Oryctolagus cuniculus: one gene and its partners. The protein of the gene in region 1 interacts with the protein of each later gene in a pairwise test. Links are inferred from orthologs where the notes say so. Each region holds a gene or a part of one and is shown in the gene's direction. Other genes may lie near its edges. The genes, in order: KRT40, SH2D4A, WT1, RWDD2B, LAGE3, AP1M1 and HDAC4.

Region 1 (4,742 bases):
TGGTTCTTAGGGTTTTGTTCTATAAAGATGTTAAAGTTTCTAAAGTCAATCTTTTCTATGCATCTTTGAAAATGAAATACATGCAATTAAAGCCAAGAAATAGATTATGCTTCATAATAGAAGTTAAATCCAAGAGACAATGAACAAAGCTACATCTCAAGTCCCTGTCCATCCACTCTTGCAGCAGAGACTTCTCCCAATGAAACTGCTGGTTTGGGACCAATATGATAGAATTTTATTCTCCAAATTCCAGGAGTTTTAATTTTCACAGAATTTAGGACTTGATTAAATTTTAAAAATAGATTCAATATCTAGAAAAAAGACTTCCATGATTTCTTTTCCCCTACCCTGAAGTGTAATCAAGGAGGATTTCCCAAGAAAGAAAGACTGTAACTTAGAACTTCCATTTCAGTCTTATTAAAATACAAGTTTAGGGCCGGCGCCGCGGCTCACTAGGCTAATCCTCCACCTTGCGGCGCTGGCACACTGGGTTCTAGTCCCGGTCGGGGCACTGGATTCTGTCCCGGTTGCCCCTCTTCCAGGCCAGCTCTCTGCTGTGGCCTGGGAGTGCAGTGGAGGATGGCCCAAGTGCTTGGGCCCTGCACCCCATGGGAGACCAGGATAAGTACCTGGCTCCTGCCATCGGATCAGCGCGGTGCGCCGGCCGCAGCACACCGGCCGCGGCGGCCATTGGAGGGTGAACCAACGGCAAAAGGAAGACCTTTCTCTCTGTCTCTCTCTCTCACTGTCCACTCTGCCTGTTAAAAAAAAAAAAAAAAATACAAGTTTAAAAAATAGCATAACTGATCAAAAATGATGTGCAGGAAACACAGAGGAGGTAAGTTTCAGAAAATCAAAGATCCAATTCCAGGTCTTGATGACCAATTTATGTTTTTTTCTGCCAGGAACAACTTGCTCCCATCAGCAGTGCACAGCATTCTTCTATTGCTATACAGGGAGATGGCACACATGTGCACAGCACACACACTAAAAGCCATACACATCTCACTGTTCGCAAAAAGCAGGGCAATATTACCCATCACACTCACCATTTTTATGGCGGTAACACAAACAAATAAACGTTACTGAGTTGTAGTGCTCATTTTAAAAGTAGAAGAGGGGAGTCCATAGGCTCCAAACTTAAAGCAAAGATAAGGAAGTGGAAATGCTGAAGGGAGCTGTTTACACCATGTACATGTGTTGAAATATTGCGCCGTGCCCCATAAACAGGCACAGGTCTTACAGGTTAGCTTTCGAAAGTAGACACAAGGATCAGTGCACAGAATCAAACTCTGGGGCCATGTAGTTTTCCTCCTGGTGATGGGTTGTACCTGTCATTATTGCTTGGCTGAATTTTTTCTTTCTGTCAAAAGGACAATACTTTCTATGATGATTTTTTGAAATAAGAATTTTGTTCTACTGACCTGTGGAAATAGTGTAGGGCCTGATTTAGTAACCTAAAGTTAGCCCTCTTTTATGAGGCATGAAACTCTTCCTCCATAAATAAACAACACTAATGAAACGTTTGTATGGAAACTGGTACCGACAGGGTACAGAAAACATCTGGTGCCCCGGTAAATACCCAGGGCAGGGAAGTGCTATATAAAAGTCTCAGGAAGGAAGGAGACTTTTTGAGTCAAAGCAAAGGAGTTTTGCAGACACTCTCTGCTCATCACTTCAAGAATGACTTCCGAAGCTTCCCACACACACTGCTCTTCTGAGTCCTGTGCCAGAGCCTCTGGCTGTGCACCTGCTTCCGCCCACTCCCTGGAAAGGACTTGTCTCCCCAGTGACGGCTCTGCAGGCAGATGTCGGAGCCCCGGCTTCCTCTCCAGGTCTTGCTTGTCCACCCGTTGCCTCACGCCATGCTACTTGGTTGGGAGTTGTGACAGTCCATGCTTGGCAGGGAGCTGCGCGTGGTGTGAGGATGGGATGCTCAACAGCAACGAGAAAGAGACCATGCAGCTCCTGAATGACAGACTCGCCAGCTATCTGGAGAAGGTGCGCAGCCTGGAGGAGACCAACGCCGAGCTGGAGTGCAAGATCCGAGAACAGTGTCAAGAGAGTATCCCACTGCCGTGCCCTGACTGTCAGTGCTACTTCAACATCATTGAAGATCTCCAGCAAAAGGTTCCGTGTCTCGTCACCTTAATGTTCCACCTTCCTAATCTACGATTGGCTTTACCTTTACCTTAGAAGAGGCATTCTTGCGGAAAGAAACCAAAGGAAAGGCGAAATCTGTGAGTTCATGAGATATGAAAGAGAGGGCACAGGACTGAAGGTTAGGAGTCAGCAGCAGCCCCACAGCTGCCCCTGTTCACCAAGGGGCTATGATGGGGACAGGGGCTGGTGGTCTTCAGCTGTATCTCCTATAGAGTGTGTGTGTGGCACTTCCATATGCATCCCTGCACATTTATATCAATTTTTACACCAGAATTGAAATGCCATTGTTATATCATACAATTTCACCTAGAAATCATTTTCTTCTCTTACGGATGAATTTCTATTACTGTTGGTGGGGATACAGTTCTAATACAAACTACTGATGCAGAAGACCTGAACAGCATTCAACTGCCAAGCAATATTGGGAAATGTCCTGAGCCCTTTTCATGTCTGTGCTTTGATTCTAAGTTGGCACTGCCTTTTCTCTTCAGTAAGTCACAAAGTTAACAAGCAAGCAGGCTGAAAGCAGCTTGATTCTTTCTTACATCCCCTCACAGACAACTAATGGCAGAGCCATGAAGGGTACAGGTGTTCAGGTTTCTTTCCAAGAACCATTTACTTTACCTAATAACTTGCTTCTCAGATCTTGTGCACGAAAGCAGAGAATTCTAGACTTGCTGTACAGCTCGACAACTGCAAACTGGCTGCTGAGGACTTTCGGACAAAGTAAGTTTACCTGCAATTTGAATATAATTTGTGGTTTTCTTTCTGTGTCTCTTACACACAGACACACACACACAGAATATTCTCTATATAATTTTTTCAAGCTAAAATATTCTAAAAGCTCAAATTTGTAATTATTTCATACACAAAATAAACGACAGCATGCGGCTTCCTTGAGCCTGTGTGTCAATCCCCCAGTGCACCCAGCACTTACACGGTGTGTGGGAAAGCAGCATTGCATGTATCTCTCTTGCTGTGTAAGGTACGACAGTGAACTGTCCCTGCGTCAGCTGGTGGAGAATGACATCAGTGGCCTGCGTGGGATCCTGGGTGAGCTGACCCTGTGCAAATCTGATCTGGAAGCCCAAGTGGAGTCTCTGAAGGATGATCTCCTTTGCCTTAAGAAAAGCCATAAAGAGGTGAGAAAGAGGCAGCAACCCAGAAGGAGTCTAAGAGTGGAAACGTTACACTGGTAGAGTTCAAGTTGATGTGTGCAAACTGAACCTGGGAGAACGCTGCTGAAGCTGAACTAACACTCCTCGAGGCTCTACTGCGCTCAGCCTGACCACTCCACTGTGACGTCCACCTCAGATAGGGCATGAAGACGCCTCTGGTATCCAGACCAGTTTTAAATATCCCATTTCTATGAACTTTTTAAAATCATAAAATACGAAAGTGTTGATCTCGTTTTGATGAACCAGAAAATGAAGTGCAGAATCATGTAATAGATGTGTTTTCTCTTTGGGCATTTGTGGATGATGACAACAGTTCACATTTACTGAGAACATCCTCTTTGAAGCAACTTCCTAAATTCTTTATATGTATGCACATATTAACTCTTCCATATCTCACAATAATCCCCCAGAACAAAATAAAATTACTATGCCAATTTTGCAGAAGAAACTGGGCACTTGTAAGGGGGGGGAAAGAGAATTAGCCCAGGGCATCAGAATTAAAATCCTACACTTTTACTCAGTATTTCACAACTCGGGAATGGGATGCCACTGTGTGTCGGATGGATTTTGCCCTACTGCTCTGTGACATTCTTCACTCCCTTCCCACTTTCAGGAGGTCAACTTGCTCCGTGGCCAGCTCGGTGACCGACTCAGTGTGGAGCTGGACACCGCCCCCACCATCGACCTCAACGAGGTCCTGGATGAGATGCGCTGTCAGTATGAGACGTTGCTCGCCAACAACCGCAGAGACGTGGAGGAGTGGTTCGCTGCTCAGGTCAGGCCCGAAGCAACATGGGAGCAGGACTCCCCGCATGTGCCTCGGCAGGGTTCTCTAACCATGCCTGTGTTTCAGACAGAGGAGCTGAATCAGCAGCAGCTGTCCAGTGCAGAGCAGCTGCAGGGCTGCCAGACGGAGATGCTGGAGCTGAAACGCACAGCCAACACGCTGGAAATTGAACTTCAGGCACAGCAAAGCCTGGTGCGTATGGCAAAGAAGGTGTCCGCCTTGTCACTGATAAATCGGGCTCTGACAAACACCCTTTCCCACAACCCAAGGCAGAGATCCCCAGTTCGTGTGGCAGGTCTGGATTTCCAAGTTGCAAGGATTCCGCTTCCTTGCCTTTCCAACCACCATGCTTACCCAGCTAGAGGCAGAAGTGACAGGTCAACAGCTTGCACCGGCCCACCAGGGTGTTCTAACCTTCCCCGCAGGCCTGAGTGCGATCCTGCGGCACCCCCCAGAGACAGGCAGGAGTGGAGAGGCCACAGCAGCATAGCACGTAGGCAGTCCAGAGGATTTTAAGTCTCTTTTGATCAGGCCAATATGCCAAGATCACCATTATACTAAAACAAAGACTTTAAACTTTTCACCCTACAATGATCATAACACTTCTCAGGATC
Region 2 (4,063 bases), on another chromosome or scaffold:
TCAGATATATTTATTATTTGAAAGACAGAGAAAGAGCTCGTCCATTCGCTGGTTCACTTCCCAGATAGCCACAGCAGCTGGGGCTGTGCCAGGCTGAAGCTGGGAGCCAGGATTTTCCTCCGGGTCTCCCACGTGGGTACAAGGGCTCAGCAGAGGACTTGGGCCATCCTCTGTTTTTTTCCCAGGCTCATCAGCAGGGAGCTGGATCAGAAGAGGAGCAGCCATGACTTGAACTGGTGCCCATATGGGAAGCCGGCACTGCAGGCTGTGGCTTTAACCTGCTGTACCACAGCGCCGGCCCTGAGGAGTATCATCTCTAGGATGTGGGTTTAGTTGGCTTCCCTACCTTTAGAAGCTGTTAGAATCAGAGTGCAGAAATCGTTGCAAGACAGCAGTTCTGTGGCCAAAGCCTCGGAGGGTCACCTCAAAGCCAGGAGGTGACACAACGTTAGCAAAGGACCTGGGAGGGATGTGCCTGCCGGAGTTAGAGTCAGGGACCCTCCTTGCAGTTAATTGTTCATGGAATGTTCGCTTCACTGGATTCAGGTAGTTGAAAGCTGCAGTAGATTGTAGGTTGCAGTGAGAATAGCGGTTGCTGCAACATGGCCAGGCTACACAGCCAGCAGTTGGTGAATCTGAGTGTCGTGTCTGCAAACCCTGGCCACCTAGCATGCTTGTCAGGAAGGACTGGTGTGGGCTGGGAAGCCGCTTGGTGAGGAAGAGGAGGCCGGGGGACGCTGCCAGGGATTCCGGGTGGTGACAGGTACACGAAGCTCCAGCATCACGCGTGGCAGGGAAGAGAATAAGAGGAACGCAAACCATTGTGGCTGTGATAGGGTTAAGTTATTAGTCTAAAGTTTACGAGTATTTGAACTTACCATGGAGGAACCAGATAATCTGAGAGGGTGTGGTTAGCAGGTGCGATTACAGAGGCATGGTAAGCACCCAGTTATCTAGAACATCAATGACCCTGAAAAACTATAGTAAGATTTTGCATATCCTGCTATATTGAAACAAAGTCCCTTTTCTCCCTCAGAATAATAATTTCTTTCTAGTTATAAAATTATGAAGGCTTGGCATCTTTCTAAAACATTCAGCCAAATGGAAATGTGTAAACAGCATGGAAGACCTTGGTGGAGTTGCCACCCCCACCCCTCTGTGTGTGCCCAAGTGCATGGCTTCATTCTAAAGTCACCTTCTCTCGCATTTTAGAAATCAAAGGCCTGTGTGAGGAACCTCAGGGCCTCTGTATTTCGCAGGTCGTAGATTCTGTGAAGGGAGGTGTCTGGGAAAGGCACATTTAAACCCAGGGACCTCCCAGGAGGTGCTTGGGTGTTCTCTGCTGCACCTGCTGTTTCCACAGCCCTCATAGGTCGACTGGAAATTGCACTGTCTTAGTGTGAAAGGACAAATACATGATGGTGTTCTTAAGTGCTGCTTTGAAGGGAACATGTCAAAGTTGCATGGTGGTCACCTTTTTATTCTTTTTTGTTCCCCGAGCATGGCTCTGGTTTGGTTTGGTTTGGAATCCGTAACTGTGAAATCTCAAACATGGTATTTTCTTTTGAAATAGGTTGTATGGAAAGAGCCTTTTAATTTCTTCCTGCCTCCCCCATTTTTTTTTTCCTGTTATGCTTTTTTTTAGCCATCAGTTGGTGGTTTGCTAGGTTTTGAGCTAATAATATGTCTGTGTGGTTGGGAGAAGGCCAAACCTCTGTTTGTTTTTTTAAAATTTAAAAATTTTTTTTTTATTTTCCTGAGATTGGCCTGTAAAAAGTTAGGGTGGTTGTTGTTGTTGTTGTTGTTGTGTTGTTTTTTATAGAGTGCCTTTGGAAATTATGGGATGGGATCGACGTTGCACAAACTCTGAAACTTGCTTGGAGGTTTCTCAACCCCTACCTCCACCCCCCGGCCAAGAAGTGAAAAGTGATACTGAATTTCCTCCAAGGTTTATGCAGAAGCCCATGCTTGCTCTTTGCAGGTTTGGCGAGAGGCGTTTTGAACAGGATGTTTGGTGCCACGGCCCAGGAGCCGGTTTGCTGAGTTACCCTCCCAGTCCTCCGTGATCACCAGGCCACGTGCGCCCCTGGGAGTCCTTGAGGTGCACCCGGCACCGCATCTGCAGGCCACGTTCAGGAACTTTGGCCGCGGGTTTTGTAAAAGACTCCAGAAGCGCCAAGATGCTGAAACAGATACTCTCGGAGATGTACATAGATCCCGATCTGCTGGCCGAGCTGAGCGAGGAGCAGAAGCAGATCCTGTTCTTCAAGATGAGGGAGGAGCAGATCCGGCGGTGGAAAGAGAGAGAAGCGGCGCTGGAAAAGAAGGAGGCCTTGCCCGTGACACCCAGACCCAGGAAAGGTGAGCCCAGCCGCGCCGTGGTAGGCCTGGCTGCTGGCCGCTCTGGCACCCTCACGCCAGCACGCGCAGGCCGGGTGCAGGGTGGTGGACGGATCCTGAAAGAGAGCTTTGCTGACCTGTAGGCTACTCACAGGCGCGGCGTTTTCCATGCGGTCACTCAGGCTGTTTGTTGACCAGGGGCCGAAGGACAGGTCAGCTCCGGGGCCTGACCTGCTGGTGGGAGGAAGGTTGCTGCTCCCCTGTCTGCTGGAGGTGCCTTTTGGCTTGGCAGAGCACAGAGTTCTTGGGTCAGCCGTGCGAGCTGTCTTTTTCTGTTTCAGGAATGCTCCCTGTTAAAATCTAAGGAGCTACAACAAAGAGGACTTGTGATGTCCTGTTTGTTTTTTAGTGGGAGTCAAGTGCTCGGATGTAGGAGTACTTCCTCACACCAGAGGAGTCCCTGGCACGTTGAGAGGGGTCTTTGGTTCTTTGAGACCATGGAGGGGGCACCGACCGGTGAACACTGACCTGCACAGACGGGGAGCAGCGGGTGAACCGCTCTGCTGTGTGTCCGTCTGCACGCCCCATCCCAGCACACGCTCTGCTGAGGACGAACCCCAAAGCGGTTAACAAACAAAGCCATTTTCAGGGTCGCTTACGAAGGCATTCCAGGGCAGTTTCTTCTCATTTTTCATTAAGCCAGGGAAGAATAACGTTTGATAAGATCTTTGCAGGCTTGTGAGGTTGAGAAAATGAATCTCACTTGTGTGCTTGGGAGAGGAAGTTGGTTCAGTGACCTTTAACTTAACTTAACTTAACGCTGCCTTTATTAAAACTGCTTCTTAATGAAGCCTTCATAATGCTAAGGAATACTTCACTTATTATTGTTTTTGTCAACATCAGCTGTTTATTAGCAATGTGGTGCTTCAGACACTGCCATGTGCTTTGATGAACACTATGTTTTTTTTTTAAATATTTATTTGTTTGAAAGAGTTACACAGAGAGAGGAGAGGCAGAGAGAGAGAGAGAGAGAGGTCTTTTATCCAATGGTTCACCCCCCAGTTGGCCTCAAAGGCCGGAGCTGCGCTGATCCGAAGCCAGGAGCTAGGAGATTCTTCCAGGTCTCCCACGTGGGTGCAGGGGCCCAAAGACTTGGGCCATCTTCTACTGCTTTCCCAGGCCACAGCAGAGAGCTGGATTGGAAGTGGAGAAACTTTTGTAAAATCCTCATTAATTGCCTTATTTAGTATTCAAAGGGTTTGTGGACTAATAGAACTAAAAGTGAGTTTATTTCAGTACAAAACAAAGTTTGAAACCCATCGTTTTTTTTTATGATATGCATTTGCCATGCACCGTGAAAAATTTTTTGCTTTTTGCATGAAAATTTTTTGTACCAAATAAACTCATACTTGAGACTCCACTTCTCAGAAAGTTTTTGAAGCCTCTTAGACCGCTAGATCTGTTGGATTTCACGTTACTCCACACTATTTAGAATAGAGTTGTTTCTTCAATGAGTAGCACGTCTCAGCTGAAGAATAATCCTTTTGTTTTAAATTACGTATTAGAAACTAGAGGCAGAGATATTTCCCATCCAGTGCTTTATCCTTAAGTGCCTGGAACAGCCAGGGCTGGACCAGGCCAAAGCCGGAAGTCAGTGTAGGTCTCCCATGTGAGTGAGGGGGACTCAGCCACGTGAGCCATCATCTGCTGCTTCTTGGGGCCT
Region 3 (4,640 bases), on another chromosome or scaffold:
GGAAACTGTGTCCAGCAGTCCTGAGCGGGCGGAGCTGACCGAGGCTGCGTCCACACAACGCAGGGTAAAACCGAAGTCTAAGAAATGTGGAACGGGTCTAGGCGACCGGAGCACTCGGCTTCTTTGACCAACTGCGACGACCTCCATGGTCGCTTCACTTAGGCGCCGCTGGAGCCGCGGGCCCCAGCCCCGGCCTCCCGCGCGAGGCCTCTCAGCAACCGGCTGCTTCCTGCCCCGCGCGCCTGGCAGTCCCAGGCTGCGCCATCGCCGCTGCCTCCTGGCGCTCTGCGTGTCTGTGCGCCGCTGAGGCGCTCCCCGCTTCGGGCTCCCGGCCCTTCTCCTTACCCATACGCTGGTTCCCGATAGATCTTCACTACTTTGGAAGAACTCACAAAACAAAACCAACTCCCCAACACCTGCTCTAGCGCGCGGGGCTCCGCGGGACAGCGCCTAAGTGGAGGGAGGAGTCTAATTGGCGAAGCCACGCGCTCGGAGCCCCCCACGGTGCGAACACTGCCGCGCAACGTAGAGCCGAGGCAGGCTCTCCCTGTCCCGCTGCGTCCTGGGCCTCGTGTCCATCGCTTTGCTGACCAGAAGCAGAGGCAGTGCCTGGCAGAGCGGTCTCAGGAGCCAACCTCTCTCCGCAAGCATCGCATCCGAACCCTCCCCATTTCCATTCCTCTTTCTCCCTCAACTGGGCGCCGGGATGCTCCGGCCAGAGTATAGGCAGGCTCCGGGTGTTTTCCCCAAGGGTTCTCTTTCCTCCCAAACTAGCCTCGCTTTTCCCGGCTTAACCGCACAACTGGATACTCCTTGGGAGAAAAGGAAAATACGGGCCGCTGGCAGCAGTTTTAGGTAGGCGGCAACCGCCCCCCTCTCAGACCTTACCAACTAACCCACGCCCAGACGATCCAACACGCCCCGCTTAGCGTAACTGATGCCCAGCTGGGGCGCTTTTGCCCTGGGTCTCGACCCCCGGAATCCACAAAGGGGCCGCCCCCACCCCAGTGACCCGAGGATTACGGACATCATCCCAACTCGACGGCTCGTAAAGCAAGAGCCGAAGTCGCGGGCGCAAATACCCAGGGTATCCGCCTCTTTCTTCGCTCCCCTTCAGTTCCCGCCCTCTTGGATCCCACCTGCTCCTCCCTCCAGCCCGCCCTCTAGGATGAACCACCCAGCTCCAAGGATGCAGAGGGGGTCACACGGCTTACCTGGAGGGACTCGCCCGCGGCCTTGAGGCGCCCACACTCCTGAAAGCTAGGATGGGGCGGTGGGGGGAGGGCTGCGCCACACAGGCCTGCTGAGAGCGCGTGGCGGGTGGGAGAGGAGGGTGTCTCGGCGAGGGACGCTCCCTCAGGCCCGCCCCCCCCCGCCCCCGCGGCGAGGGCGCCCCCAAGGAGCTGTGCGCGCTGACCAGCGCGGCTAGGGCTGCGGTGTGAATGGAGCGGCCGAGCCTCCAGGCTCCTCCTCCTCCCCCGCCGCCGGCCCCTCTTATTTGAGCTTTGGGAAGCTGGGGGCAGCCAGGCAGCTGGGGTAAGGAGTTCAAGGCAGCGCCCACACCCGGGGGCTCTCCGCAAGCCGACCGCCTGTCGGCTCCCCCCTTCCCGCCCTACCTCCCACTCACGCACCCACCCACCCAGCCACCCAGAGCCGGGACGGCAGCCCAGGATCCGGGGCCCTGCCGCCTCCTCGCCGCGATCCTGGACTTCCTCCCGCCGCAGGAGCCGGATTCCACGTGTGCCCCGGAGCCGGCATCTCAGCACGCGCTCTGCTCGGGGCCCGCGTGCCTTCAGCAGCCCGAGCAGCCGGGAGTTCGGGGCCCGGGCGGCATCTGGGCCAAGTTAGGTGCGGCCGAGTCCAGCGCCGAGCGTCCGCAGGGCCGGAGAGGCCGCGGGGCGTCCGCGGTTGAGCTGCAGCAGATGGGCTCCGACGTGCGGGACCTGAATGCGCTGCTGCCGGCCGTCCCCTCGCTGGGCGGCGGCGGCGGCTGCACCCTGCCAGTGAGCGGCGCCGCGCAGTGGGCGCCGGTGCTGGATTTCGCGCCCCCGGGCGCCTCGGCTTACGGTTCGCTGGGCGGCCCCGCGCCGCCGCCCGCTCCGCCGCCACCCCCGCCGCCGCCGCCGCCGCCTCACTCCTTCATCAAACAGGAGCCGAGCTGGGGCGGCGCGGAGCCGCACGAGGAGCAGTGCCTGAGCGCCTTCACGGTCCACTTCTCGGGCCAGTTCACCGGCACAGCGGGAGCCTGCCGCTACGGGCCCTTCGGCCCTCCTCCGCCCAGCCAGGCCTCCTCTGGCCAGGCCAGGATGTTCCCCAACGCACCATACCTGCCCAGCTGCCTCGAGAGCCAGCCAGCTATTCGCAACCAGGGTGAGTCGGCGGGGGAGCGCGAGGCGGCGGCGCCGGAGCTGTCGCCGCGCGTGGCCTCTCCTCTCCCCTCCCCCGTCCCGGATCTCAGCTCTGGCCCCGCAGCCTCCGCTATGGCCGTGCGGGTGGCGGAAGCGTTGGCCAGGGAGCGGGGGAGCGCACGCCAGTAGAGGCTCCCGACATTCTCCACAGCGCGGCAGAGCGGGGAGCCTAGCGGTTCGCATGAGCCGGGAGTCCGCCTGGGGCCCCGCGAATCCTCCCCTCACGGGAATGGAACAAGGGGAAGGGTACAGAGTGCGGCCAGGCCTCGGGCCACGAGTTGTTTTTTTTTTTTTTTTTCCCCTGCTTTTGGCGCCTCCAAATTATCACTAGGCATTGCACTTTTTAGACGTGTGTAGATGGTGGGGTCAGGTTGGGAGCAGCGCGGGTGAGCATCCCGGGCCTGCCTCCCCGCCCCGCCGCGCCAAAATGTCCAGGAGCTCCCCAGGTATTAATACGGTGCTGGCACACACTGGCACCCAGGAAGAACCGTGGGGCAGTGACCAGGTGGCTTGCCTGAGCCGCGCCTGTGCTGGTGGAGAGTGCGCGCCTTAGGCGGTCTCTCAGGTTTCGCTCAGGCAGCGGCCACGCGAGGCTCCAGCCACGGACAGGAACCCAGCTTACCCGATTCCAAATGCTACCGCAGGCATTTAAGGCCGGAGCAGATGCCCTTGGCGCGCCTCCTCGTAATGTAAACCAGGGAGAGAGTTTGCAACCTGATGCGTTAGGACAAGGCAGGCTTGTTCGCCGTCTTCAGTCGATTCCCCCCGAGCGACGTCGGCCGGTGATTCTCTTATACCCGCGCGGGCGTCCACGCGCGTGACGTTTGGTCCCGACCAGCGCAGACTCCTTTAGAACGAGCGCCTGTGGTCCGGGCCCTTCGTTTATTCTCCTTGCATGTCTCTGCTGTTGAGAACCTTAAACCGGTTCGGGTTGATGGGATGTTTTAGGAAACGCAATGGCGGACGCTTTTCCTGGATCACCACCTCGCCCAGGCCCAGGACTGGGATGGTTCTAGAATGAGTGGGGTAGGAGGAGCACTGTTGTGCACCGTGTTCCCGAAGTACCAGGAGGCACGAAGTACCCTGAGGCACGGAAGAAGAGGTTGGCTCTTCTCGCTCTCACCTGCGTCTTCTGAAAGAGGGTCTGCGTGGCTCTCCCGACCACCCAGGAGCCCTTGGCCCAGCCGAAGCCGTGGCAAAACCGAAACCATGCAGTTTCCTCCAGAGAAATCTGGGAACCGGGTCCCACGGAGGAACCTTAGGCAGACCCCAGGGCCCCTCTCCGCCTCTCGGGAATGAAGTTTTTGGAACGCAAGGGCTGTTGGAAGCACTTACTGTGGCTCTCAGAGACTCATGTTCTCGGGGCGCTCCACCTCTTACTGTAGGCTGCTGTTAACCTTTATGGAATCTCCAGGTCTCAGTTTCCCCCTCTGTCAGAGGAGAGTTGAGATGGACAATTGGAGGTTGGGTCTGCCCTCAGAGGTGTCGGGGAGAGAAGTGGCAGTCTGACTTCTCCCAGCGCGGGGCTCTCCGTCCAGGACAGAGTAGCGTACCTTAACAGCCCAGGGTTCCAGACGCGCCGCCGCCCGGCAGGTGTGTGACACAAGTCCGTGGGTGGACTTGTGTTATCTGGAGAGACCCTAGAAGCTTCCTATCCAAGACCCCGGGGGAACCAAAGACTGCCGCACCTTTATCTCCGTTTTGAGTCTCAGTTCTGCCCTGCGAATCTTGAAACCTGGGTTCTCTGGCTTTGGTTGGGGCCCCAGTGTCCAGTCTCCTGGTGGGCAGGTGCTTAGATTCCATCAATTCCACCTACATGTAGGGGCAGAGGTGAGGTTCTCAACCAGTGGACACTGCACTCCTGGGGACAGTTATAAGGCCCTTCCAGTGGACAGGCTTCAAGAGTAGGAGTGGGAGACCAGAATGAACAGGTAACTGCATCTGCCTATCCTTCCCAGGGGGAAAGCCAGATGGGGAGATGGCCCCAAGTCTGCCAGCTTAGATTTTTCTCTCCCAAACAAAACAGAAATGGGTTGAGCAGGCCCAGCCCTTGGGGGTCCCTTGGCAGCTGAGAGCTGCAGTGAGATGTGAGCCTATCTGAATGGCCAAAAAGGGAAGGCCCTTAGTGCCTCCAGAGTCCACATGTATTCTTTTGATTTCCCTGGGTTCTTGCAGCTCCCTTAGAAAGCAGGACTTGGCCCAATGCTTGGGGCTAGGGGACTCAAGGGCTGT
Region 4 (4,543 bases), on another chromosome or scaffold:
TAGTCAGCTCCCATATGGGATGCTGGCACCGCAGGTGGAGGATTAACCTACTGGCCATGGCACCGGTCCCAATGTTTTATGTCTTAATAGGGTTTCAGTTACACAGGTGTACGCACTTTTCAAAACTCAGTAAATGTACATTTAAGATATGCATTTCCTTTTTAACTCAAAAGAAAACTCAATTAGGACTAATGATAGGCACACTCACAAGGAAAGTGTACTAATCTGCAAGTTACTTTAAAATCTATCGGAAGAACTGGTGTTGTGGTGCAGTGGTTAACCTGCTGCCTGCAATGGTGGCATCCCAAGTGAGTATTGGTTCAAGTCCCAGCTGCTCCTTTTCCAACCCAGTACCCTACTAATGTGCAAGTAAAAGCAGCAGAAGACAGCCCAAGTGCTTTGGCCTCTGCCACCACTATGGGATACCAGTATGGAGTTCCTGGCTTCTGCCTGGCTTAGCCCCAGCCATTGGAGTCATTTGGGGAATAAACCAGAACATGGGAGATCTTACTCTCTTTCTGTAACTGCCTTTCAAAGAAACAAATTTAAAAGTAAATAAAATGTATCAGAAAAAAATGGATTGATGAGTGACAAAGCAGGTAAAGTAAAAAATGTTATGCTGATCTCTCTACATCTTTGCTTTTAATCTCAGAGCTGGTGTTTGGTGCTCAAATTCCTGCTGTCTGCTGATACATGCCATGGTAGGCAGCATGTGATGGCTCAGGTACCTGGGTTCCTGCCACCCATATGGAAGACCCAGCTGGAGGTACCTGGCTTTGGCCTGGCTTCACTCCAGCTGTTTGGGGCATCTAAGGAGTAAACTAACCGTTGGCAGATCTCTGTCTCCACTTTTCAAATAAATGAAAATAAACTTTAAACATTTTTAAAAACAGGTTTCTTATCCTCAACAATATCAACATTTTGGACCAGCAAGTTCTTAGTTGTAGTGGCACATTCTCTGGATTGTAGACAACTGAGTAGCATCCCGAGGCTCCACCTACTAGATGCCAGTGGCATCGCTCCAGTGGTGACAACCCAAAATGTGTTCTGACATTGCTCAACAGGGGTGAAGGCACTCTTCCTTGAGAAATGTTCTACTGCTTCACTGTAAAAATCTCTCATCCTTATTTTATGCTTTAGATTTTCTATACCCACGGTTCGAGGAAAAAGAATTAATAACATTGAAAACCATTCACAAAACACAAGCGCCTTCAGATGCAGCTCTGAAGACCTATTTACTATCATCTTTTATTTTTTTAAAGAGAAGATTGTGAAGTTAGCAGTGATAATAGCTACCAGTGAATATCAATACCTACAAACCTTACGACTTTCCTAAAATAAGCGTGCAACACTACAAAAAGTGCACTGCATACAGAATGAGAAGGAACACCCTGTAACTACCCCCCGTGCTGGAATCTCCTTCTAACTCTCCTTTCAGTAACAGAGATAAATAATTCTGCGTATTCACCCGGTCCTCCCTGCTTGGTTACCAGGTAAGAACACAGGCCATCACCCTAGTGTCTTGCTCCTCTATGGTTCATGGACAAGGACCACCACTGCGTGGAGAGACTAGAAACGCTAATTGGGACCCCACTCCTCCCTACCCAGTAGAGATCTGTACCGCGGCAGGACTCCCCAAGGATTCCCAGGCACGCAGGCGCTGCGGGAGCCCAACTTGAGTGGGCAGATCCGCGTCCCAGGACACGGCGCCCGCTCCACTCCGACAGCCAGCGGTGGGAAGCGCCGATGGGGCTGGAATGCAGAGGGCCCTAAAAGGAAGACTCTGCGAGTGAGACGCACCTAACGGGGCCAAAGAATTCCTTCTGTTGATCCGACTTTAGAGGAAAACTCAAGCCGGTGCCGATGTCTAGCCGAACCCACAGATCAGGGCGTCCTCGGCTTCCGGAACCCGCGGCCTGGCCTGCGCGCATGCGCCAGCTGAGGGCGCGCTCTCACGCCCCCCAGGCCACCGCGCAAGAGCGAGGAGTAAAGGTCGGGCGGCCGTAACCGCGGATTCCGACGCTTCCTCCAGACGCGACTTGAGCAGTCCGTGCAGCAAGGAAGCCTGGAGCTCCAGCAGTGAGGGAGCTGCTGCCAGAGGTGAGTCTCCCGTCCGCCCAGCAGCAGGGACGGCGGGCCTGGGGCTCCTGCGCCGCGGCAGTGCGTACCGCCTTCCCGGAACTGGCCGACGTCGTGGCTCCGCCTCCCCTCGCGCTGCGCGTTCTCTCATTGGTCGGAACCGACCTCGCCCTCGTGCCCCGCCTGCAGCCGGGGCCCGACATTCCCGTCTCTAGCTGGGGCCCCAGTTCCCCAACGGTGGGCGCCTTTCAGGACGCGGGCGGTGGTGCTCTTTGGCGAACAATAGTAATCACCAAGGCCGAGCCCACTCACGAAAGTCAACTTGCATTGTACATCCTTTAAATCGTGAGTCGGAAAATTCTCATCAACGAAAACCGTCTGGCAAATAAATGACATCCCTTGTGACCTCACTTCCTCTGTTGTCCTTTCACTGGTCCTCTGACAGACTTTGTCGATTCCGCTTCATTTTCCAGACCCCAAACTCAATAGGACCCTCTCCCAACTTGACCCTCCCTCTGGGTGACTTTAAACACATAACGTTAAATAAGCGTTGATGACTCCTCAACTTACATCTGCAGCTGAATTCTTCTATGTATCTGTATTCAGCTGCTTTCTGGACATCTCTAAGTGGTGTCTCAATAGGCATTTCATTACTTAATATGTCAAAAACCAAGCTATAGATCGCCACAATCTCCTCCATCTAAATAAATGGCAAATCCATCTTTTCCAGTAGCTGAAAGCCTTGGAATCATGGCTACCTATCTCATGTAATCCATCAGGAAATGCTGTGTGCTCTACTGTGTTTGTTCAAAATCTTTTTTTATTATTATTATTATTTTTGACAGGCAGAGTGGACAGTGAGAGAGAGAGACAGAGAGGTCTTCCTTTTGCCGTTGGTTCACCCTCCAATGGCCGCCGCTGCAGCCGGCGCACCGCGCTGATCCGATGACAGGAGCCAGGATCCAGGTGCTTTTCCTGGTCTCCCATGGGGTGCAGGGCGCAAGCACCTGGGTCATCCTCCACTGCACTCCCTGGCCATAGCAGAGAGCTGGCCTGGAAGAGGGGCAACCGGGACAGAATCCGGCGCCCCGACCGGGACTAGAACCCGGTGTGCCGGCGCCGCAAGGTGGAGGATTAGCCTATTGAGCCACGGCGCCGACCGTATGTTCAAAATCTTAATGGTTGCTCACTGCCTTGACCCCCAAGCCATCTTCATCTCTCCAAGTCACGGCAGTACCTGTGTGGTCTCCTTGCTTTCCTCTGTTCTCTTGAGCATCAAGTGTCAGACCTTTTCCAGTGACCTTCCGTATCAGGATAAAAACCAAGGTTCCATATTTCCAATATAACCTCTTCTATCACCCTGCCCCCTGCTCAGCATGCCCTAGCCAGGTGCTTTAGAACCTCCTGCCCCTTTGAACATGCTTTTCCTTCTGCCTAGCGCACCCTTTGCTCAGATAAACACATGGTTTCCTTTTGAGTACCTTCTAGTCTCTTCCATGCAGTCATCTCACAAGAGAGGCCTTGGGACTGGGGTTGCAGTGTAACAGGTTAAGATGCTTCTTGTGATGCCAGAATCCCATGTCAGGGTGCCAGTTCCAGTATCAGCTGTTTCACCTCTGATCCAGCTTCCTCCTAATGTGCCTGTACAGGCAGCAGAAAATGTGCCATATTCTTGGGCTTCCTGCAGAACTGTGGTGTTTAGAATCCTTCCAAAGCAAAGAAGGAATAATGAAGAAAGACTCTGGGCTCTTCCTCCGGTCCTCTCATTTCCTGCCTGAATGTTGGCTGAACCCAACCACAAGAAAGTCAGAAGAGCAGGGTGATGTGGGTTACAGAGGTCAGCTGTCCAGAGCAGAGAAGGGCCAGGAATAGTTTTAGGGTACTTATTTGTCAGCTTTTCATTACTACAGTGAAATATTTATGAAGGAAGAATGTTTATTTTGGCTCACAGTTTTGGAGTTTTGCTGTCCATGATCAGGTTTTTGGTATCTGATAATCACATTCATAGGAGCAGAGTCCTGAGTTGATGCAAGGCATCACATAGCAAGGGGGAAAGCAGGTGGAGAAAGAATCACATGGCAAGCCAGGAAGCAAGGAAAATAGATGAACTCAACTTGGTTTTTATAACCAGTGTTCTTGAGAGAACTACTATTGATAGCACTCTCCCGTTGACCGGAGAACCTCCCACTAGGTACAGCTCCTAAACACTATGAATGGATTAAATTTGGGCCATTTTTCTGCCATCAACTTTATAACTTTGGGGTTTTAGGAGCTACCCAGTGGCTGGCGCCGTGGTATAGTGGGTAAAGCCACTGCCTGCAGTGCCAGCATCCCATATGGGCACCAGTTCAACTCCCAGCTGCTCCACTTCTGATCCAGCTCTCTGCTATGGCCTGGGAAATCAGTAGATGGCCCAAGTGCTTCAGCCCCTGCACCTGCATGGGAGACCCAGAAGAAGCTCCTG
Region 5 (3,484 bases), on another chromosome or scaffold:
GGAACTGGGCACCTGAGCGAGTGTCCAGTCATTCAGAATGGGGAGGGCAAGGTTCAGCGGCTAGAACTTTCCTGATGGGCCAAGCGCCAAAGAACCAAGAGCTGAGCTGAGAGCCCAGTCCGCACTGAGACCGGGCCTTCTGAGGGACTGGGGTCCAGTTCTTCCCTGTTTCTCTTCCCCGCAAGGGCTTTGCTGGGTGTGAAATGGGTGAAATCCCTCCCAAAGTTTTATTACCCAGTTATCAGACTGAGCAGCCTGCTTAGCGCCAGACAGAGGGTTCTCCTGGGGTGCCTTTTTGGGAGGCAAGGCTGGGGCCACCAATAAAGTGACGGGGGTGGACAGGGCTTTGTCGTGTAAAAAAATACAGGACTGCTGCCCAAGTGCACGTCCCAGGCTGCTACATTGCTTTCCACCAGGGCTTTGTTTTCCTTAGGCCCTCTTCACACACACAGCTAATCTCTCCCTTGCTACCTAACAGCCTCACACACAGTCTGAGATCGATCTTGTTACCTAACAGAACGAACTGATACAATGGAACTACGATACATTTGGCAAACTTCAGCGACGGAAAAAAAATCTAGAGCCAAGGTGGCGTTGTAGTTTACCAGGTAAGGCTGTAGCCAGCAACGCTATGAAATGGTTGCTCCTCTTCCAATCCAGCTCTCTGCTGTGGCCTGGGAAAGCAGTAGAAGATGGCCCCGGTCCTTGGGCCCCTGCACCTGTGTGGGACACCCTGAAGAAGCTCCTGACTTTGGATTGGCGCAGCTCTGGCAGTTGCGGGCAACTGGTGAACCAGTGGATGGAAGACCTCTTTCTCTTTCAAATAAATCTATTTAAAATTTATTTATTTGAAAGATAGGGTTAGACAGTGAGAGAAAGAGACAGAGAGAAGGTCTCCCCAAATGGCCGCTACGGCTGGCGCTGCGCCGATCCGAAGCCAGGAGCCAGGTGCCTCTCCTGGTCTCCCATGCGGGTGCAGGCACCCAAGCACTTGGGCCATCCTCCACTGCACTCCCGGCCACAGCAGAGAGCTGGAGAGAAGAGGAGCAACCGGGACTAGAACCCAGCGCCCGTATGGGATGCCGGCGCCGCAGGCGGAGGATTAACCAAGTGAGCCACAGCGCCGGCCCCAAAATAAATAAATCTTAAAAAAAATATATATTGCAGCTCAGTTTCTCCAGGGCCTGTGGGTACCAGCAGCGCTGTGTTGTCGGGAACCGACCACGCATCTGCCTGCTTCACTGGAGGTATGTTCTGGCTAGCGCACTAGCATCGAATCACGAATGCAGTGTTTCTGAAGCTGCCAGGGTCTCCAAGAGCCCCCACGTTGGGCCACTATCGCGGGAACTCACGAGGCGTCCCAACAGCCTCGTCAAAGGTGTGTTTGCGCAGGCGCGCGTGGACGTGGTCGTGCGCGAGGGGCGGAGCTTCAGGAGGGCGGGCAATCTACGAAGCTCCTGGAGATGGCGGGCCGTGGCGCAGCGCCCTGAGGGTGGGGTTGAGGGCGGGGCAGCGGCAGCCATGCAGGCTGCGGACGCAGGCGCAGGCGGCGTGGCGGGCGGCGCTCACACCCAGCGTGGACGGCGTGGCCGCGACTTTCCCGATGGTACCGACACAGAAGCAGCTGCAGCCCGTGGAACTCGAGAAGTCGCGCAGGCACCGCACGCTGCCGTTCCGGGCGGAGACGCCGCGACAGCAGCCGCAAGCCCGGGAATGCGACCACACTCCTTGTATCCTGCGGGAGGGGCACAGTGGGGGAAGGGGGTGGAGGCTGCCCGTGGTGGGGGCAGGGTAGCCTGGAACAGAAGGTGGGAAGGGCGAGTGGGAGGACCGGTAGCACAGAAAGAAGAGCAGGGTAATCGGAGCCGCCCGGATGGCTGTGGGATTAAAGCGTTAGCCAGTGGGGGGCGCCCGAGAGAGGTCATGGAAGCCGTCAGAAGAGCCAGGGAAACAGACTCGGGCAAAGTCGCTTCCGATGGTGCCTTTACCAAACCTCCACCAGTACCCTCAGTGTGCCTTTTCCCACCCGTCTGGAGGCAGAAATCGCCTGTGAGTCCCTGGCTCCAGATGCTGAGCCTCACCCAGAAGCGATTGGAAAGGACCTCGCAGTGACCGGCACCGTCCTGGCGGTGTAAATGCTTCCGGGGGCCGGGGGTGGGGTGGCAGGAGTGGGGGAGCGGGAGGCGGTGAGGGGAAGGCAACAGGGGATGTGGCCATTCTCCACTGAGAGGTAGGCTGGGAGGCCTGGAGGCACTCCGGGGGAAGTCTAAGGAGCAGGTCTGGGACGCTGCCCGAGAGGCCCTGTAATACCGGGGCTTCCAGGATCTGCTGCACTGGATGCCTGAGGGGTAGAGCAAGGGATGTGGGCAGCTACTGTCCCCGACTTGATTTTCTTGTTCCTTCCCTTTTAGCCGCTGGACAGCTAAAGATCCTCGCCTCCTCCGAGTTTCCATCATCAGCTTTCTTGAGCAGCTTTCCCTGGTGGTGCGCACCCTGCAGCGCTTCGGGCCTCCCGTTGCCCGCTAAGACTGGACTGGGTAAAGGGGCCCAGTTGTTACCTTGCTCGCCTCCTAGAAAATGTGTCTCCCTAGGGCGATCATGCCCGAAGCAGGATGGGGCCTAATGGCTTGCCTGCATTGGGTTCTGGGTGCTCAAGATCTGTTTGTTTTCACCAGTGCTTAAATGTTTGCTACCACAGAAAATAAAACTGACCTCTTCCCAGTTTCATATCCTTTTCACATACAAATATCCTTGCCATTGTCCTGGAGTTGCAGTGGAAGAAACGAGATTCACATGTTTAAGAAATGCAAGTTGGGGGCCGGCGCCGCGGCTCACTAGGCTAATCCTCAGCCTTGCGGCACCGGCACACCGGGTTCTAGTCCCGGTCGGGGCGCCGGATTCTGTCCTGGTTGCCCCTCTTCCAGGCCAGCTCTCTGCTGTGGCCAGGGAGTGCAGTGGAGGATGGCCCAAGTGCTTGGGCCCTGCACCCCATGGGAGACCAGGAGAAGCACCTGGCTCCTGCCATCGGATCAGCATGGTGCACCGGCCGCGGCGGCCATTGGAGGGTGAACCAACGGCAAAGGAAGACCTTTCTCTCTGTTTCTCTCTCTCACTGTCCACTCTGCCTGTCAAAAAATAAAAATAAATAAAAAAAAATGCAAGTTGGGGCTGGTGTTGAGGGACAGTGGGTTAAGCTGCCACCTACGTTGCTGGCATCCCGTATAAGTACCAGTTTGAGTCCCAGCTGCTCTACTTCCCATCCACCTTCCTGCCAATGCCCCTGGAAAAGCAGCATAACATGGCCCAAATCCTTGGGCCCCTACCACCCATGTGTGAAACCCAGATAGAGTTCCAGGTTCCTGGCTTCAGTCTGGTCCATTTGTGTGGTGAACCATCACACCTTTCTCTGTGTCACTTGTTCAAATAAATAAATCTTAAAGGTAAAATTTAATTGTAGACAATTTAAGAAATAGAACAGGAAAAT
Region 6 (4,063 bases), on another chromosome or scaffold:
CCCTCTCCTCTTCTCTCCCTCTCCTCCTCTCGCCCCTCCCCCTCTCCCTCTTTGTAACTCTGCCTTTCAAATAAATAAACACGAGCTCGTTCATTTGAAAGGCAGAGTTGGAGAGTGGGAAGCTGGCGGTCACGTCGGGTGTCTTCCTGCACTGTCGATGTGCGTGCCGCGATGGTTTTCCCAGCCCCACACTCCTGGAACGGCCCTGGCTGGTCTCGGTTTCCTCTTCTTCCCCTGCGTCCCTGGGCCTCAGACCATCCCAGCGTCAGCGCCAGGGCTGACATCTCGGGGCCATGTTCCGAAATGTTCGCAGCTCTTGGTGTGCTGAGTGGTTTTGGCTTACATGCCGGCTGTCGGCCGTGACCTATGATAAGGTTCTAGGTTTCGTTTACAACGTAAGGGAAGTGTTGATGCTCTCATTTTAGCCAGCAGTCCACCTGCCTGGGTTCAGGCCACCACTTCAGCGCTCAGCCTGTGGGCCACAGAATCATTTCTGTGTTCAAGGCCTGCGTGCCAGACGTGCGCTGCTGGGGCTCCGTCTGGGGCCTGGGATCTTAGGTCCCCTCACGGGTCTCTGTGTGTAGCCTGAGGAGGTGGGTTGCTGGGCCCCTGGCCCTCTGTTCCCTACCGGGGCCTCCCTGGGTCCTGTGGGTGGAAGCCGGGGGAGAGAGCCCCGCTGTCCCACGTGTCTTGCGTGAGTGCCCTGCTCCCGAGTATCAGGAATCCGCACTGTGGCCCCACAGCCCAGCTGGAGGCTCCCCTGCCCACCTCGCCCTCTCCCAGCTGCCCACCTCGCCCTCTCCCAGCTGCCCCATCTCGCCCTCTCCCAGCTGCCCACCTCGCCCTCTCCCACCTGCCAACCTCGCCCTCTCCCACCTGCCCACCTCGCTCTCTCCCCAGCTGCCCACCTCGCCCTCTCCCACCTGCCCCATCTCGCTCTCTCCCAGCTGCCCACCTCGCCCTCTCCCACCTGCCCCATCTCGCTCTCTCCCAGCTGCCCACCTCGCCCTCTCCCACCTGCCCCATCTCGCTCTCTCCCAGCTGCCCACCTCGCCCTCTCCCAGCTGCCCACCTCGCCCTCTCCCAGCTGCCCACCTTGCTCTCTCCCACCTGCCCACCTCGCCCTCTCCCAGCTGCCCACCTTGCTCTCTCCCACCTGCCCACCTCGCCCTCTCCCACCTGCCCCCCTCGCCCTCTCCCACCTGCCCACCTCGCCCTCTCCCACCTGCCCACCTCGCCCTCTCCCACCTGCCCCCCCTTGCCCTCTCCCACCTGCCCACCTCGCCCTTTCCCACCTGCCCACCTCGCCCTCTCCCAGCTGCCCCATCTCGCCCTCTCCCAGCTGCCCACCTCGCCCTCTCCCACCTGCCCACCTCGCTCTCTCCCACCTGCCCACCTCGCCCTCTCCCACCTGCCCACCTCGCTCTCTCCCAGCTGCTCCCCGCCCCCACCTCAGGCGCACTCTCCGCCTGAGCTCTGGTTCAGCACCTGCTGTCGGGCGAACCTGTGGGTTCAGCCAGTCCCAGCAGGTGGGTCACCCTGCTGTGCCCTCAGGCAACAGCTTGTGTGGCGGCCCGGGCCACCTGCCGGCCCTGGTTGGGACTTCTGAAGAGCTAAGCCTCCAGCTGTGGGACTGGCGCTTCGAGCAGAGCTGCCTGCCCTGTGACAGCGGCCGCAGTAGCTGTGATCCTGCCCAGGGTGCCCTGGGGGAGTAACTTGGAGAGAGCAGAGTATGGCTCCGCCGGGAGGGCCAAGCTCCTCTGCACCCTGGCTGGCACCAGGGCGGGTGTGGGGCTGCCACCTTCCAGGTCTGACTGCAGAGCCCATGGCCGCGTCACCATTGCCTCCAGATCGCGATCAGCTGGACGGGGCAGGGTGCCGGAGCAGCCGGGCCCTGGCAAACATCTCGGCAGCGCCCGCCCTGGCCGGCTGGGGGCACTTGGGGTGCCACCTCAGCGCAGGCCACAGCCCCGAGTGCTGCCCACGGGGCTGGCATCAGCGCCTTCCCAGGCCTACCCGCAGCTGCGGGAGGCAGCTCCCAGAGGAGAGCAGTGAGGGGCCGGCAGGTAGCACACAGGGTCCTGACAGCGCCGCAGGTGCGATCCCAAGGTGCCCTGTCCTGGAGCCCAGGTGGGCCAGTCGCTGCTTCCCGGGGGACACAGCAGCCAGCAGCCTGCCCCTTGCTGGAGGGGAAGACAGAGACAGACCCCCACGGGCCACCGAGACACGGAGGGCAGAGCCTGTCTCTCCAGGTCGGTCTCAGGGCTGTCGCCTGGCACTGCAGGGGCGGGCGCCCTTTGGCCACGTGGTGCCTTCAGACCCTTGCGGCAGGCACTGGGCCCCCGCTGCCTCGGCTCGGCTGGGCTCCAGGGTCGGCCCATGCCCTGCGAGTGTTCTAGTGTCCCTGGGTCAGAGTCCTTGGGGCGGGGGGGGGGGGGGGGGGGGAGGCGGCCACAGCCCCTGCTGTGAAGGCTGGGGGAGGGGTGAGCCCGGGACTCTGAGCAGGGTGTGGGTGGGAGGAGGGCGTGGCCTGGCCTGAGCTGGGCTACCGGGAGGGGGCTGGGTAGGGAGGCGAACCTTGGGAGCACAGGGTGAGCTGAGGCCCCCCGCCCCGCGCCCCCCAGGTGAGCGCCAACGGCAACGTGCTGCGCAGCGAGATCGTGGGCTCCATCAAGATGCGCGTCTTCCTCTCGGGCATGCCCGAGCTGCGCCTGGGCCTCAACGACAAGGTCCTCTTCGACAACACGGGCCGTGAGTAGCCGGCCGCGCTGGGCGGGGGCCTCAGACACCCAGGGTGCAGTTCCCGTCCCTCGGGGCTCTGCTTCTGCCCTCTCCTGGGGCTCTGGGTCCGCACTGGGTGAGGGCCACACACGGGTTCCCGTTCTCGCAGGCTGGCTGGTGCTCCCAGGGTGGGGCAGGGGACGCAGGGGCTCAGCCTGGGGTGGCGCAGGCCTTCTCCGGACTGCGGCCGTGCCCAGGCCTGCCCAGCAGCTCTGCCTGCTCTGGGCGAGCAGAGCCTGACCCACGTTGCCATGTGTGGAGTACAAAGCTGAGAGAGGACCCAGGCCCCAGTGGCGGGGCGCGAGCCCTCGGGGACCCCCACGCTTCACGCAGCCAGGTCTGAGAGTCACTCAGCAGACACATTCCATCCAAGCAGCTCCCCTGTCTGGGCCCTGGGCTGCCTGCTGGAGACTCCGGTGAGCTGGGCCGCCACCGGGAGGAGGCTTGGAACCCGCGTGCCCCGTGCTCTGCAGCTCGGGACACTCTCCCAGGGGCGGCCTGGGCCACAGGAGCCCACACACAGGGCACACAGTGCACACACACACATAGCACACACACACACACCTGTCCCCTGCAGGACGATCTCTCAGGGGCAGCCTGGGGCCACAGGAGCCCGCACACAGGGCACACACACACACACAGTGCACACACCTGTCCCCTGCAGGACGCTCTCTCAAGGGCAGCCTGGGCCACAGGAGCCTGCACACAGGGCACACACACACACACAGTGCACACACGCAGAGTGCACACACACAGTGCACATACACACACACACCTGTCCCCTGCAGGACGCTCTCTCAGGGGCAGCCTGGGCCACAGGAGCCCGCACACAGGGCACACACACACACACAGTGCACGCACACAGGGCACACACACACACAGTGCACACACACAGTGCACGTACACAGAGTGCACACACACAGTGCACGTACACACACACACCTGTCCCCCACAGGATGCTCTCACAGGGGCGGCCTGGGCCACAGGAGCCTGCACACAGGGCACGCACACACACACAGTGCACACACGCAGAGTGCACACACACAGTGTACACACACACACCTGTCCCCTGCAGGACGCTCTCGCAGGGGCAGCCTGGGCCACAGGAGCCCACACACAGGGCACGCACACGCACACACAGACACACAGGGCACACACACAGCACACACACACACCCCATCCCCTGTCCCCCGTCCCCCGCAGGCGGCAAGAGCAAGTCGGTGGAGCTGGAGGACGTGAAGTTCCACCAGTGTGTGCGGCTCTCGCGCTTCGAGAACGACCG
Region 7 (4,063 bases), on another chromosome or scaffold:
CGTGTTTGGCATCACATGTGTCTCCAGCTCTGCAGGACTTGGTTTGTGTCCCTTACCCATGCTGCCTAGTTGCACATTTTTGTTTCTTCACCGGTTTTTGTCCGCTTGGCTGCTGGGTCTAAGACGAGTGGGACGCTCCCCCGTGGAGGCAGATTTACCCCCGTCTGCCTGCGTGCATCTCGTCGTGGCAGAGGGGCCCTGCCCGCGTGCACGTGGTGCTTGCCTTGCACCCCGTGTGCCACGTCTTCCAGCACTGCGACCCAGGGGTCTTGTCCTTGACCATCAGCCCCTTCGGGCCGCAGACGCTGCTTCTGCAAAGGGCATGAGGCTGGCTGTGACTCGCTCCCTGCAAGCCACACGTCCCTAGTTCCACTTGACCATTACTCAGCCCATTTCCTTTGTGGTCATTTATTTGAAAATCAGAGTTACAGAGAGAAAATGAGATGTCCCATTCTCTGGTTGATTCCCCAGATGGCCACGGCAGTCAGGACTGGGCCTGGCTGAAGCCAGGAGCTTCCTCTAGGTCTCCCACGTGGGTGCCGGGGCCCAAGCACTTGGGGCATCCTCCGCTGCTTTCCCAGGCCATCAGCAGGGAGCTGGATCGGAAGTGGAGTGGCCGGGACTCGAGTTGGCACCCTTATGGGATGCTGGTGTTGCGGGCGGCAGCTCCACCTGCTGTGCCACAGCGCTGGCCCCTGTTTATTTTTTTGAAATGCAGAAAGAGAGAGACTGTGAGAGATCAGTCTTCCATCTGATGGATCACTCCCCAGGTGGCCACAGTGGCCAGGACTGGTTCAGGCCTAAGCCGGTGCCCAGATTCCATCCAGCGCATTGCATGTGGTGCAGGGGCCCAAGGACTTGTGCCATTTCCTCGGCTTGCCAGGCGCGGGAGCTGGGAGCTGGGACTGGAGGCCGAGCAGCCAGGATGCTGGTTGCAATGCCAGCTCCAGACAGCGCAGACGCTTCTCTGGCTGCACCGACAGCACCAGGCCACGCTTCCTGCGGCATGCCCGCGTGCCTATCGGCTCCCTCGGCCCCTGAGGTTGTCCGCCTGGTGTCGCCATCCTGCCTAGGCATGGATTTCCCTTCCTGTTCTGCCTGCCGGGTCTTGCCCCTCTCCCAGGCTGCAGGCCCCAGGGCCGGAGCCCCGTGTCTGGCTGCCCCTCGTCCCTTCTCCCTGTTCCCTGAGGACCTGCGGGCAGCCGCACAGACCCCCACAGCCCACCCTCTGGGCTTGCTCTGGGCCACTGCCTCGGGTGCCCCTCCACACGGTGTTCTCCTGTCTGGTCTCATCGCGTGCCCAGCTTTCTGCTGCCACGCTTGGATTGCTAATTCATTCTCTCTCTCCCTCTCTCCCTCTCCCCCTCTCCCCCTCTCCCCCTCCCCTTCCCCCTCCCCCAAGTCTTCCAGGTCAGGTACCGCACTCTCTGGCTTTTCCTCACACATGAGTGTTTTCCTGTGTGTTTGAAGTGCAGTAAGCGTGTTTTAAGTTGTAACTGACGGTTTCAGTGACTGCAGTCTTGGGGGGTCTAAACCAGCTCGTTTAACTTTTGATCTCTGGGAGGTTTTAAGGTGTACGGAGCCCTCGCGCCAGTGCCCTCCTGGGCGGCTTCCTCTGTGCTGGCCTCCTCCTTGAGCCCCAGTCACCGTGCACAGCTCAGAGACCAGCTCCAAGCCGAGCCACACCAGGGACGGGGCAGGGGCAGGGGTGGTGTACAAGTGATCAGGATTCTCCGTGGAGGAGTCTTACCTCCCCGGTTGGCCCCTGGGTCATTCACAGGTGTCCCTGTGGACTCGCCTCTGCCTGTCATTCTGTGCCAACAGGGGATGGGCCCAGGAGGGCAGGTGGGGGGATGGCCACCAGCGGCCTGCAGGAGATGCGGGAGCAGAGCGGGTGGAGAGGAACACGATGCTCCTAAAGCACACTAACCGCTTCCCCTGGCGTGGCCCGGGGGCGGAGAGCAGGCAGCAGCTCGCGCCCGGGCCCTGTCCTCCCTCCACCTGCCGGCAGGAGCGCCGGGAGCCCGCGGCCAAGGCCGGGAGGAAGTGAGCTAATAGATTCCCGCGGCCACGTGAGCCTTTCTGAGTGTCCTCTTCCCTGCGGGCAGACGCACTCCACGAACGGCCCGGCAGCGGGCAGGGGCAGGGTTGGCCCCGTGCTGCGACAGCCACGTTGGCTGGGTAGCCACTGTGTGTCCCTCTCTCTTCCAGCTCGACCCTCTGCCCGAGCAGGTGGTCCAGCAGAGACCCAACGCGAACGCCGTCCGCTCCATGGAGAAGGTCATGGACATCCACAGTGAGTGGTCGGGCCCAGCCGCTGTCAGCTGGCCTTTGCTGAGCGGGTAGAAGCAGCCACAGCCTCCCGTGACGACACATTACCCCACTGCACAGGCCAGAGAGCGGGGGCCCCAGCAGCGCCGGGCAGCCCAGGGCTGGGGGCCCGAGTGGGGGGCTGCAGGGCAACCTCCTACCACTGCCCTGTGAGCACAGGCCCTGGGGGACCCCTGCCGGCTCGCCTGTCTCACACGTGTCCGCGCCGCAGATCCCTGTTTATCTCTGGGTCTCGGAGACCCGAGTGGGCAAGGCCCTCCGAGAGGTGGGTAAAGCCAGACATCGGCTCCCGGTGTGCCTGTGCGGGGGCTGGGTTCCTGGCCTAGAGCCGCTTCCAGCCCCGGGCACACCCCCAGCGTCTGTCAGTCCCAAGGCAGGGGCCCCACGGGAGCCCCCACCCCCAGTCCCACGAGGTCCCAGACATCGGCTCCCGGGTTCCTGGCCCAGAGCCGCTCCCAGCCCCGGGCACACCCCCAGGTCTGTCAGTCACTGCACTTGCGGGGACCTGTAGGTGCGGAGGGAGCGCCAGGTGATCCCAGGCAGGCTCGATGCCCCTGGCTACCCGGAAATGTTGCCCAGACGAGTGGGCTGGCCTGCCGCTTCAGAGAGGTGCTTTTGACTCGCGAGACCCCGGGCCCTGCGACAGCTCCTGCCTGGTCCTGAGTGCGCCTTCCCCGCCCGCAGGCAAGTACTGGCGCTGCCTGCAGCGCCTGTCCTCCACGGCCGGGCACTCCCTGATGGAGGCGCAGAAGTGCGAGAACGAGGAGGCGGAGACGGTCACGGCCATGGCCTCGCTGTCCGTGGGCGTGAAGCCGGCCGAGAAGAGGTGAGCTCGCGGGCCCTGGCAGAGCCTGGGAGAGGTTCCGCCCTGAGCAGGGGGCCGGGGCGGGGCCGGGGCGGGGCCGGGCCGGGCCCTGCGGTGACGGCCCTGTGGTTCTCTCCCCTCTGCCCCCTCCACGCAGACCCGAGGAGGAGCCCATGGAGGAGGAGCCGCCCCTGTAGCGCTCTGGAAGGCGCTGTTCCCTTGTTTGTTTGTCTCTGTCTTGAAGCTCAGCCAAGAAACTTTCCCGCTCACCCGCGTCTGCCGCGGTGCCCCCTCGAGTGCTGGGGCGCAGGCGCGTGGCCGCAGCGGGAGCCCTTCTGCCGCCCACACGCGGGCCTGGCAGCGTCCCGCGGAGCACGGGACAGACACGGCAGCGAGCAGACACACGGACACGCGGAGGCCAGGCACACCGCCGGCTCCCAGGAGGGAAGCCGCCAGAGGCCTGCGGCGACTCGTGGCAGGGTTGCCGGATTCAGTCGATGCAAGGAACAGAAAATGAAATCAAAGATCTAATAATGCAAAACAGACTTGATCAAAACTGGTGCTTCAAGTTCGGTTAGGACCCACAATTCCACAGTCTCCGTGTAAACCACTCAACTCATCTTGTAGCTCATTTTCTTTTTTTTAAGAGGAAGTTTTCTACGGCTCTGGCCCACCCCCGTGGCCCTCGGCGGTCTGCGGCGGGGGCAGAGCAGACGAACCTTTGAAGACAAAACCTGACAGAACCACAGTGCGAGCCCGGGGCGTCGGCTTCGGTTTCTCGAAGCCGTCGGAGATGCGAGTTTGTGCCTTTTTTTTATTGCCCGGATGGATTTTTGGGGCTGGGTTTTCTGAAGTCTGAGGAACAATGCCTTAAGATAAACTGAGCAGCAGGAATCGGTGGGACACTTTCCTGTGGCCGGTGCAGCC

Evidence for each region.
Region 2: the proteins of KRT40 (region 1) and SH2D4A interact in binary tests that used the Homo sapiens proteins (3 or more experiments, as listed by UniProt). The two-hybrid records come from large-scale screens. The link is inferred for Oryctolagus cuniculus from reciprocal best matches to the Homo sapiens genes KRT40 and SH2D4A.
Region 3: the proteins of KRT40 (region 1) and WT1 interact in binary tests that used the Homo sapiens proteins (3 or more experiments, as listed by UniProt). The two-hybrid records come from large-scale screens. The link is inferred for Oryctolagus cuniculus from reciprocal best matches to the Homo sapiens genes KRT40 and WT1.
Region 4: the proteins of KRT40 (region 1) and RWDD2B interact in binary tests that used the Homo sapiens proteins (3 or more experiments, as listed by UniProt). The two-hybrid records come from large-scale screens. The link is inferred for Oryctolagus cuniculus from reciprocal best matches to the Homo sapiens genes KRT40 and RWDD2B.
Region 5: the proteins of KRT40 (region 1) and LAGE3 interact in binary tests that used the Homo sapiens proteins (3 or more experiments, as listed by UniProt). The two-hybrid records come from large-scale screens. The link is inferred for Oryctolagus cuniculus from reciprocal best matches to the Homo sapiens genes KRT40 and LAGE3.
Region 6: the proteins of KRT40 (region 1) and AP1M1 interact in binary tests that used the Homo sapiens proteins (3 or more experiments, as listed by UniProt). The two-hybrid records come from large-scale screens. The link is inferred for Oryctolagus cuniculus from reciprocal best matches to the Homo sapiens genes KRT40 and AP1M1.
Region 7: the proteins of KRT40 (region 1) and HDAC4 interact in binary tests that used the Homo sapiens proteins (3 or more experiments, as listed by UniProt). The two-hybrid records come from large-scale screens. The link is inferred for Oryctolagus cuniculus from reciprocal best matches to the Homo sapiens genes KRT40 and HDAC4.

What each region holds. Positions count from the first base shown.
Region 1 is NC_091448.1:21,607,511-21,612,252, forward strand, and holds the start of KRT40 (keratin, type I cytoskeletal 40), read left to right. Parts: upstream 1-1,617; 5' UTR 1,618-1,683; coding exon 1,684-2,130; intron 2,131-2,806; coding exon 2,807-2,889; intron 2,890-3,148; coding exon 3,149-3,305; intron 3,306-3,954; coding exon 3,955-4,116; intron 4,117-4,194; coding exon 4,195-4,320; intron 4,321-4,742. UniProt on the Homo sapiens protein: May play a role in late hair differentiation.
Region 2 is NC_091439.1:3,493,761-3,497,823, reverse strand, and holds part of SH2D4A (SH2 domain-containing protein 4A), read left to right. Parts: intron 1-1,981; 5' UTR 1,982-2,180; coding exon 2,181-2,361; intron 2,362-4,063. UniProt on the Homo sapiens protein: Inhibits estrogen-induced cell proliferation by competing with PLCG for binding to ESR1, blocking the effect of estrogen on PLCG and repressing estrogen-induced proliferation. May play a role in T-cell development and function.
Region 3 is NC_091432.1:33,511,573-33,516,212, forward strand, and holds the start of WT1 (Wilms tumor protein), read left to right. Parts: upstream 1-1,513; 5' UTR 1,514-1,922; coding exon 1,923-2,370; intron 2,371-2,720; exon of another isoform or gene 2,721-4,640. UniProt on the Homo sapiens protein: Transcription factor that plays an important role in cellular development and cell survival. Recognizes and binds to the DNA sequence 5'-GCG(T/G)GGGCG-3'. Regulates the expression of numerous target genes, including EPO.
Region 4 is NC_091435.1:16,633,298-16,637,840, forward strand, and holds the start of RWDD2B (RWD domain-containing protein 2B), read left to right. Parts: upstream 1-1,664; 5' UTR 1,665-2,100; intron 2,101-2,241; exon of another isoform or gene 2,242-2,424; intron 2,425-4,543.
Region 5 is NC_091453.1:132,705,354-132,708,837, reverse strand, and holds LAGE3 (EKC/KEOPS complex subunit LAGE3), read left to right. Parts: upstream 1-1,434; 5' UTR 1,435-1,521; coding exon 1,522-1,730; intron 1,731-2,002; coding exon 2,003-2,131; intron 2,132-2,411; coding exon 2,412-2,526; 3' UTR 2,527-2,727; downstream 2,728-3,484. UniProt on the Homo sapiens protein: Component of the EKC/KEOPS complex that is required for the formation of a threonylcarbamoyl group on adenosine at position 37 (t(6)A37) in tRNAs that read codons beginning with adenine.
Region 6 is NC_091447.1:64,739,681-64,743,743, forward strand, and holds part of AP1M1 (AP-1 complex subunit mu-1), read left to right. Parts: intron 1-2,624; coding exon 2,625-2,751; intron 2,752-3,984; coding exon 3,985-4,063. UniProt on the Homo sapiens protein: Subunit of clathrin-associated adaptor protein complex 1 that plays a role in protein sorting in the trans-Golgi network (TGN) and endosomes.
Region 7 is NC_091434.1:1,667,354-1,671,416, forward strand, and holds part of HDAC4 (histone deacetylase 4), read left to right. Parts: intron 1-2,211; coding exon 2,212-2,296; intron 2,297-3,015; coding exon 3,016-3,157; intron 3,158-3,293; coding exon 3,294-3,333; 3' UTR 3,334-4,063. UniProt on the Homo sapiens protein: Responsible for the deacetylation of lysine residues on the N-terminal part of the core histones (H2A, H2B, H3 and H4).